Caenorhabditis elegans: one gene and its partner. The protein of the gene in region 2 purifies or fractionates together with the protein of the main gene of each other region. This does not show direct contact. Each region holds a gene or a part of one and is shown on either strand. Other genes may lie near its edges. The genes, in order: metl-1 and R151.8.

Region 1 (4,067 bases), on a different chromosome or scaffold from region 2:
CAAAACAATTTTTTAGTACTTTCTCCAATGTTTTAGCTGAAATTAATAGTTTTAAGATAAATTTAAATCAAGTGATTTTTTATATTTTGACACTAGAAAATGCCTGATAAAAACCTACATCAACTTCGGCGCAGTCCGTTTCCTCTTCACATGCTTCAACATAGAATATCTCCCTGTTTCAGGATTTGGTCGTTCAATTGTGTAATTTAATGAAAGTATTCTCTGTCCCATATCATCGTCTTCACCTCCCCACGCCCAGAATTGATTTGAATATCCATTAACTGCACGATAATCTGCCATTGATACTGCTAAAACGCCTCCGACAATCTCCTTGTACCACAATTGATATCCCAGATTACTGACAAAAGCTCCAAGATGACGTGGACCAGGTGGGCACGAATACGGGTTCCGATCGTCTTGTGGGAACATGTCGACGTCGTGGAAGACTACACAATCGACTCCAAGGCTTTCTGCGAAGATAAATGCAGCATTCATAATTCGGCCTTTGTTGAACAAGTCGTTTCCATACTGAAAATTTAATATTTTTATTTAAGCATTGCTTTAAAAAAATTCTTACTTGTTCAGTAACAATGAATCGAAAATCTAGCCGCTGTCGTTGAAGTATTGGAATCAAAAAGTCGATCAATCGAGTCAAGTGAGTTTGCCTTTCTCGATATGGAATTATCACTGCGATTTTATCGCGAGCCTGACAATCATCCGGTTTCCATGAGCCACCTGGGCCAAGTTCTGGATGAATTGCGTGTACTTCTCCTTCTTGAAGATTTTGAATCAAAAGTGTGGCTTGTGGAAGAGCGCCTTGAAGATCTGGTATTTTCTCAACTATTGGACAAGATCCGTCCTCTTCGGCGCTGAAAAAATAAAAAAAACGTTTAGTTTAGATTCACAATAATCACTGAAAAAACTTACATTTTAACCGGTGGCTTTGGTTTTGTGACGGCTTCTTCCATATTTAAAAATGTTAGCGTCTGTCGAGCAATTTCCAATTCAACAGGATCCTTTATATCGTGTGTTCTTTCAGCGACTCCGCTGTTTTTTGATTGCTGTACATTGACATTGACAGATCGAACTTGCTCTTCAGTCGCTGCTATCCTGGAGACTATTTAATATTTAGTATCTCACATTTATAAAAATATATCAAAAACAAACCTTCTTTCATCATTTAATGTAGAATTTCTGAGTAGCATTACATAGATTAGTGTGGAGGCGGCAACGAAAATGATAAGTCGTTTCGGAGAAAAACTACGTATTATGCAGTGTGAGGTCCTCATTTTAAGTAGCTTTTACCGATAAATCAATGCATTTGAATTCTGAAAATTGGAAATTACTTTTTGAGGGGATCAGAAAAGAAATCCGGCTGTAAATAGAGTAAATAGGTGTTGAGGGGAAAGTTATGTGACAGAATAAGAGAAAAAGAACGAATGCGTGGCTGTGAGAAGTATATTCAGAACAACTGCAGTGGTTGTCCGGTCTTTTTTGTTGTAAGTGAAGCAACGGGAATTGTTGTGAAGAAGGCGAGAGACAATGCGAAACCTAGGAGACGCCGAGAACTCCCCAACACGAAAGTTGCGCACGAAAATTGATTGCTGGCGCAAATCGAGTTACGCTTGGCGCACTTCACGATCTTCTCATTTTTTTATTTTAATTTTTTTCCTTTTATAACTTTAAAGTTAACTTTCAGTAAATATAACTTTTAAATTATTAAAATTTAACTTTTTAAAATTAAATTGCGCATTTTTCAACTACCTCAATGTATAATTTACGTAAATATTTACATAATTTACTCGTGATTTTCAGCAAAAACATGGACATAACTCCTGCGCTGACAGAAATGGAATTGGATCACAAACCTACTTGCGAGACAGTTCCAGGGTTGCCTCAAAAGAAGCATTATCGGTTAGTTTCTGAGAAAACTAAAGTTTAATATTTAATAAAAAAGGATTTCAGGCAGCGAGCTCACTCGAATCCTCATTCTGATCATGACATTGAATATCCACTGACTCCAAACCAGTGAGTAAAATTAAAGTGTTACCTTTTGTTAAATTTTGACAATTTTTAGTATGGATTGGACCAAATATTACGGCGATTACACAAAAGGACGTCAAGTGGATTTTGCAGACATCGGATGTGGTTATGGAGGTCTTTTGATGAGATTGTCACCTAAATATCCTGATAATCTGATGATCGGTATGGAAATTCGTGTGAAAGTGTCGGATTACGTAAACGAAAAAATCCAAGCACTTCGAAAGCATCACGCTGAAGCTGGTCACTACAGAAATGTAGCCGTTCTCCGATCAAATGCCATGAAATACATGCCAAATTATTTCCACAAAGGACAACTTTCCAAGATGTTCTTCCTTTTCCCAGATCCACATTTCAAGAATAAGAAGCACAAATGGCGGATCATCACTCCAACACTGCTCTCCGAATACGCTTATGTGCTTCGTGAAGGAGGTATGAGAGTGACCTTGATCGTACCAGTGATCACAAGTGCAGATAATGGAATAGGAATAGTTTCAATGATAAGAATAGCGTATCAACGGTTGAAAATGTGTCTTTGTGTCCCTAATTCTCGCCATCAAACAATATTTATCATCTAACCGCGTGGCCGTATGCTGCTGCGAGACATTTCATCACCGAACATTTTTCTTGACTTTCGATAGATCTCAGAAAACTTTCCAATCTCTGAAGCTTTAATTGTTTCAAATTTGCACGTAGGCTTCTATCTTCAATTCCCTGCCCAATAAAATTAACAATCCGTTCCATGTGTGCCACGTGAGAACTATAGCTAAGTAGAAACCTGTTCCTTTCTCTGTAGCTCTGCGCACCTACAAGTGCATTTTCCCGCTGTGCCTATTGATCTTTGTTATAACTTTTATTTTTTCAGGTATTATCTACACAATCACTGATGTCAAGGATCTACACGAATGGATGGTCAAGCATCTCAGCGAGCATCCACTTTTCGAACGGCTGACTGAAGAAGAAATGAAAAAAGATCCGATTGTGGAAATGCTCTTTGAAAGTACTGAAGAAGGACAAAAAGTGACTCGAAATGACGGAGGAAAGTGGCCAGCAATCTTCAGGCGACTTCCGAACCCGGCCTTATAATCCCCTCTGCCTACTTCCAACATTCATCAATTTTTCACGAGACTCTCCCTCCTCCTCCGAGGTTGTTATTTAACTATTTTGTTGATTTTGTGTTTTTGTCTGTTAAATGAAATCCAATTCTTCTAATAGTCTGATTTTTTGAACTTATTTCCATCGAGTTTTCAAACTCTACTTATATATCTATTAAATTTAATCAATTATTAAATTTTTAAATCGCATTTTCAGCAGATACTCAGTACTGGGCAAAATGGGTGGCGGTGGCGAAGATGAGTACGAATCACTTCCAACACACAGCGTCCCGGTAAGAATTTTAATTAATTAAAAGAGATTGACAAAATTGAAGATTTCGGCAAAAATTAACCGTTTTCTTCAAAAAATACGTGTTTTTTTTTGAGAAGTTCCATTACGAATTCGGCGCATTTTTATTAATTAAAATTTTTTTATTAAATTAATTTTCAATTAGTGTTTCCCATTCTATCACAATCTAAGATTCAGGTGCACTTGACAGCTGGAGCCCTGGCCGGAGCCGTTGAGCATTGTGTCATGTTTCCATTCGATTCGGTCAAAACGAGAATGCAATCACTTTGTCCGTGCCCTGAAACGAAATGTCCAACTCCTGTACATTCACTGATGAGCATTGTTAAACGAGAAGGATGGCTTCGACCGCTACGTGGAGTTAATGCAGTTGCTGCAGGCTCAATGCCAGCTCACGCTCTATACTTCACAGTTTACGAGAAAATGAAGGGATATTTGACGGGAAACTCCGCGGGACACAGCAATACGTTAGCATATGGAGCTTCTGGAGTTGTTGCAACACTTATCCATGACGCTATCATGAATCCAGCAGAAGTAGTGAAGCAAAGAATGCAAATGGCTTTCTCTCCATACGGATCATCGTTGGAATGTGCTCGATGTGTTTATAATCGGGAAGGTGTGGCGGC
Region 2 (5,641 bases):
CCGGTATCCTCAAATGTGATTGTTCGTTTGTCTTTGTTAGTCGTGATTCGAATTTCACTTGGACCTTCTGCCACGTCACCTTTCAATTCTGCGTATCGTCTCTTCTCAAGAGCATCCGAAGCATTGGAAATGAGCTCGCGAACAAATACCTAAAACAAAAATTAAATACTTGTGGAATACATCAATTTCCTATATTTTTTGAGAATAAGGAAATATTCTGCCAATTTTTTTCGCGAAGTATACGGTATCCGGTCTCGACACGACAAACTTTGTTAAAGACAAAAAGGTGTGCGCCTTTAAAGAGTACTGTAATTTGAAATGTTCGTTTTTGCAGAATTTTTATCGCTTTTTTGAAGTTTTCGCACGATTTGTCAAAGTTCATGTCGAGACCGGGTACCGTACTTTTGACGCAAAATTCAAAAAATTTTGTGTCTGGGCTATATTGAACTTTTTAAAAAATATTTACCTCGCTGTGTGAATACAAGGATTTTGCGACAATGTCCATAAGATTCCGTGTCTCTGCTTGGAATTCATGTCTCTGTGGTTCAGAAGCCATCCATCTCCGTTGTGTTGGTACAGAAGGGGTGAAATGTGAAGCGGTGATGGGAGCTACGTATCTCATTGTTCGCATGATCCTGCCAGTTAACATCCGTACCGGGAGCGACATCTAATAAAATGATTTTTGGATCTGGAAAGGCAATAGGATGGAGATAATGATATTTGGAAAACAAACCAGTTCATAAAACAACTCTTGGCAGATATAAAACAGTATAAAAAAATTTTATGAAGCAAGAATCGAAATATTAAGGAATGCAAAAAGTAAAAACCTGAAATTCAATGGAAAATTGAGTGTAGTACAGAAAATGAATAATATGGAATATTTAAGAAAATACAATTCGTGAGATTCAATATCAGAAAGCAAAAAAAACTATTTTTTCTTCTTGGGCGTGGTCTTCTTCTTCTGAAAGTGCGATAGAATGTAATCCTGACTATCTTGCGATGAAGAAATCATATCGTGATATTTTTCGTGAACTTCATTAACTGAGAAATGCAGAGCCGGATTAGAAATTGTAGTCAGATCTCCGTGATTCGTAATATTCTGGTACATCATGTCGGTGAAGTCAATTGTTCTAAAAATCAGTTGTATTATTTGTTATCAAATTATTTCTTTACTTACGTGTTATTTCCTCCAGGAGTTTCCAAATGAGATGCATGTCGTGTCGATCCAGGTGACATTGATAGATCTCCACCGAAATATTGTTGCATAATGCTGTCTTTCTGAAAAATTAGAAGATTTTTTTACAATTCGATATTGTCTCATTGCATACCTTCGGAGTTGGATCTGGTGTACGTAGAGATGATAAAAATGCATCATTTCTTTTTCTTTGCAATTCAGGATCTGCACTTCGTTTTGTTGGAGAGAACACGACAGATGAGAAATCAGTTGGTCCTTGAGTACTTGTACTTGGTGAGTCAGAAGTTGCAGTGAGTTCTGATATTTTATGAGCATTTGATAGAAGTAGAGATTTCTTTTCCGAATATGTAGAGGTTCTTCTCGGAATTATTGTAGTTTTTGGTGCTGCGAACACTTGTTTCACCATAAGATCCTGAATCGCAGGAGCGGAACTTGACTCTCCGGGTGGCGGACGAATCAGTAGTTGAGGAGTAACTGTTGCAAGTACTGGATTCGTTGGTTTTCGTTTTGCTGGAGCAGTCTTCTTTCGAGTTGTCTTTTTAAGAAATGCGAGTTGACATGCAAAGTCTTCAGTTTCTTGTCGAACGATGTCGCTCACTGGATTGCCAGGAACATCCGAAGTAGTATCATCACATTTTTTCTTTTTCGAAGCTGACGAACTTGGTTCTCTGTAATGATATTTGGAACAACAGCTTTTTGGAACATCGAAAAATTTCGTTTTTTCGATATTTAGAAAAATATCTTAAATTTTTGTCATTTTTTTAGCAGCTATGTTTTTCATCAACATGATCAAAATTTGATGAAAAATTTAATTTTATTGTTAATTTACTAAATATTTTTTGATCTCTCGATGTTCCCAAAAATGTTAATTTTTTAATGACACTCTTGACTCGGATTGAAAATTGAAAATACTCGGATCGGAGGAAAAAGCGACTCACGAATCTGCCGTTGGTTTGTCTCTTTTTCTGGTCTTACTCGGCGCCAAACAATCTCCGTATCCTCTATTTAATAGATTAATCATTACTTTCCAGGGTTCAGATGCTTGAATAGGTTGGTTCTCGTTATGAACTTGATATCTTAATTGGATTGGATTTTTACGGCCACACTGAAAAATAGAACAAATAAAACTGATAATAAGAGTGTTAAATTAACTTACAACACAAAAAAGTTCCGCCACAATTGCATTTCGAACATTTTTAGAATTTATTCCTTCCGCAATAATTTCATCGGTTAACGTGAAAGGTCTTGGATAAGTTACAGTATGAGATGGTTTTGTTTCTGAAAAAACAATAAATGTTTTTGTCAACTGAATCATTAACTAACTGATATTAACATCCGTCGCCACTTTTATTCCAGTTACTTCTATTTTCTTAGCTTCCAGCTTCTCCTTACTCTCTTCTACATTCTTAATCAATTTGTTCATAGACAACGAGATGAACGGTGAATTTTCGGCCGATTGAACGCATAAACTCGCTATTTCACAAGAACTATCCGGCCATAAAGTGACTGAAATAGGGGTAGAATCTCCTGCCAATGACCATTTTTTGTGCAAAAACTCGAGAAGTTTTGTGATTCGATCGTTTGCATTGAGTTTAACACGAAGAAATGGATTCTGATTACGTTGTCTCATGAAAACATGGTCTCCATTGCTTGTTGGCTCGAGGTGAATGTAGAGATCATTTGGAACTTTATCACCTTTTTTGACGCCTTAAAACAATAATCTAAATAAAAACTAATTTCCAATCCATAAACTCACTGAAGTATCTGCAAAGTGCTGGGCAAGGTGGTGTTTTAATCGTTACCAATTTCCTACCAGCTCTGACGACAACAGTTCTGCAAACTTTTAGTAATAATTTTTCAAGTTCAAATTTTTTAAAACCAACCCTTCGAACACTAACTCCTTCAACTTCTCTACAATAACCTTCATATTAACAGTTTTACGCTTATATTCGCACGCGTTGATGAGAAGAAACAGTTCTCGAGCATCTCGTGGAATATTTGCAAAATCATCTGAATTTAACAAACATGTGAGATCAGATTAAAATATATTCTTATTACCATCTGTCATTGCCAATAATGATTTATATGCTTTTGCCGAATTGAAGAAGAACGTCTTCACGTGATCTTTGGTCTTTTCCATTTTTCGCTTCGCCATGAACTTTACAACACTGTCAAAATCTTTCCCGTGCTGAAACAATAATATAATCACAGAGATTGTTAATATATATGACTCACAAGCTTGATTCCATCATGAAAAGCGCAAACTTCATCAAAAGACCAAGCTCTTCTTTTTGGAAGATCTAGCGATTTTTGGTCAGAAAGTACAGAAGTGCACGTGGGTTCCGAACTTGACGGGTTCAATATTTCTCCATTTGTTGTAGTGTTGTCAGTTGATGTTTGAGGTTCTTTGTCTAGCCCGGACGTCAATGAAGTCGATGTAATCGGTGCAGGTGATTGAAGCGGTCTTTCCCTCAATACGGGAGGCCGCCCAAAGGCGATGCGTCGTCGAGAAGAACTGGCAGATGACGTTGATGGCTCATCTGATTGCATTTCTGAAACAAAAAATGAAGAAAATATAATCGAGAATTCTTTTCAAAATTAGCGGTTACCACCAGAGCGCATTTGTACACAGTTAAATTATGTCCAAATTCAAGATAGATTAAGGAACATAGCATAGCAACATATGCACAATACAGTTTGGATTGATGTAGAAAAATTTGAAAATCAGTTATAATATATTTGCCTTAACTTTGAAAGTCAAATAAGATAATAATTAGTGCCTCAAACACTATCGATCGATGAAAGAGTCAATGTGAAATAAACTGTTGCAAAAATATATTCAAAAAAAAACAACTAGAAATATAAAATGGTTATGTGAATATCACAAAGTACGATCGAATACAGATAGAAGTAAACCATCAGTTTTTTGAAAGAAAAATATGATATATTTAATATGGGGGCAATCCGAAGTCCTCTGGCTTAAACTGTTCCAAACTATTCAAAATCACAGTCACACGATTTTTGAATTCTGGGTCTGAATCGGGGTCGAAAATCGATCGTTCTGGAACCATCACACATTGCATTCCAGCATCGAGTGCCGACAAGACACCATTGTACGAATCTTCAAATACAAGAACTTTGTCCGCCGATTCTGGAACTTGTGGGAATCGTTTCATAGTCACCAAAAATGGATCTGGGTGTGGTTTTCCGTGTTTCACTTCAGGATCATCTCCCGATAAAACTTGCAACTTGATCATGTTCACCCAATCTTTGTGGTTATCCAATTTCGTTGGAAATGTGCGACTACACGATCCAGTACACAATGCAACTGGAACTCCGGTATGAAGAAGGTGACGAACCAGTTTCTCAGCTCCAGGCATCGCAGGACTCCTTTTGAACATTTCGATGAGAAGTTCATCGTATTGACGTGAATACTCTTCCGGTGTCACAAGATCGCCGATTTTCAGTTCGTTGATTAGCCATCGGATCGATTCATCATGGCGTTTTCCCATTTGCCCTGAAATTTATATTAAAATAAAAATATTTCTGATATTTCTTCTCACTTCTCTTCAAATCCATTGTGAAAACGTGTCCATATTTTCTCAAAAGCTCCATATTCGCTTCCGTGTATGCAGATTCTGTGTCGACGAGAAGACCGTCAAAATCGAAAATCACATGGGTCACTGATGCAGGCATCTGGAAATTTCTATAAAAACATATTTATTCCAGTTTTCGTTTCCTTAAATAATATTCAACTCCGAGATAAGTAACTCGAATCACTGAAAATTGTAAGTCCAAAAAATAAAAGATTAACAATTAATTAATGCAGAAATTAAGAGTTAACAGCTAAAATGGAATGAATACACGATGCTGCATGAGATTTTTAAAAGTGGAACCACATTGAACTTTTGATACAATAAAGGTAAAATTGCATTGATTAATTTATAGTAAACATTTGAAATTCTCGTGGCTTTCGTTGCCAAATTCCGAGATCCTTCTGTCGCAGCCAGGTAATGAACGACTTTTTTGCAGCAGCGTATTCTTGAGATCCAGCTTTGAGTTCTTCGTATGAGATTGGATAATCCACAGAAGTCTTTGTCAACGTGCAGATCTGAAATAGAAGGAATTGTTGAGTTTCACACTCAAAACATCAAGAAAATTATTTTTATTTTCCCCCAGCTTACAGTAATCATCAGTTCTGCCATATTTTTTTTACACAATCTGGATGGAGTCGTGATGTCAGCCCCGCTCATATCCTTATCATGAACCATTCCATCCGATGTTCGTACAACTTCTGTATTTCCATCAGCCAAGTTCCAATTCATCGAACTAATCGTGGATCGTGCTGCTGCAGAAGTTGATTGCTCAGTATCTTCCACTTGACACTCTCCGATTTCCACGTCTTGAACATGGAATGGAGCTGGAGGTTTGAAGGTGGCTGCTCTG

Evidence for each region.
Region 1: the proteins of R151.8 (region 2) and metl-1 fractionate together in Caenorhabditis elegans (co-fractionation; one large-scale study listed by BioGRID). This does not show direct contact.

What each region holds. Positions count from the first base shown.
Region 1 is NC_003280.10:11,471,318-11,475,384, reverse strand, and holds metl-1 (tRNA (guanine-N(7)-)-methyltransferase), read left to right. Parts: upstream 1-1,809; 5' UTR 1,810-1,822; coding exon 1,823-1,914; intron 1,915-1,965; coding exon 1,966-2,028; intron 2,029-2,077; coding exon 2,078-2,472; intron 2,473-2,905; coding exon 2,906-3,126; 3' UTR 3,127-3,250; downstream 3,251-4,067. Other genes in the region: ngat-1 (Beta-1,4-N-acetylgalactosaminyltransferase), read right to left, coding at 119-528, 578-869, 928-1,110, 1,168-1,289; slc-25A37 (Mitoferrin), read left to right, coding at 3,374-3,427, 3,616-4,067. UniProt on the Caenorhabditis elegans protein: Catalyzes the formation of N(7)-methylguanine at position 46 (m7G46) in tRNA.
Region 2 is NC_003281.10:7,226,041-7,231,681, forward strand, and holds R151.8 (Myb-like domain-containing protein), read right to left. Parts: upstream 3,748-5,641; 5' UTR 3,746-3,747; coding exon 3,431-3,745; intron 3,384-3,430; coding exon 3,254-3,383; intron 3,206-3,253; coding exon 3,079-3,205; intron 3,029-3,078; coding exon 2,952-3,028; intron 2,903-2,951; coding exon 2,519-2,902; intron 2,474-2,518; coding exon 2,352-2,473; intron 2,301-2,351; coding exon 2,134-2,300; intron 1,864-2,133; coding exon 1,329-1,863; intron 1,279-1,328; coding exon 1,178-1,278; intron 1,131-1,177; coding exon 929-1,130; 3' UTR 767-928; downstream 1-766. Other genes in the region: hsp-75 (Histidine kinase/HSP90-like ATPase domain-containing protein), read right to left, coding at 1-149, 467-667; R151.10 (uncharacterized protein), read right to left, coding at 4,144-4,712, 4,759-4,891; Double-stranded RNA-specific adenosine deaminase adr-2, read right to left, coding at 5,133-5,306, 5,380-5,641.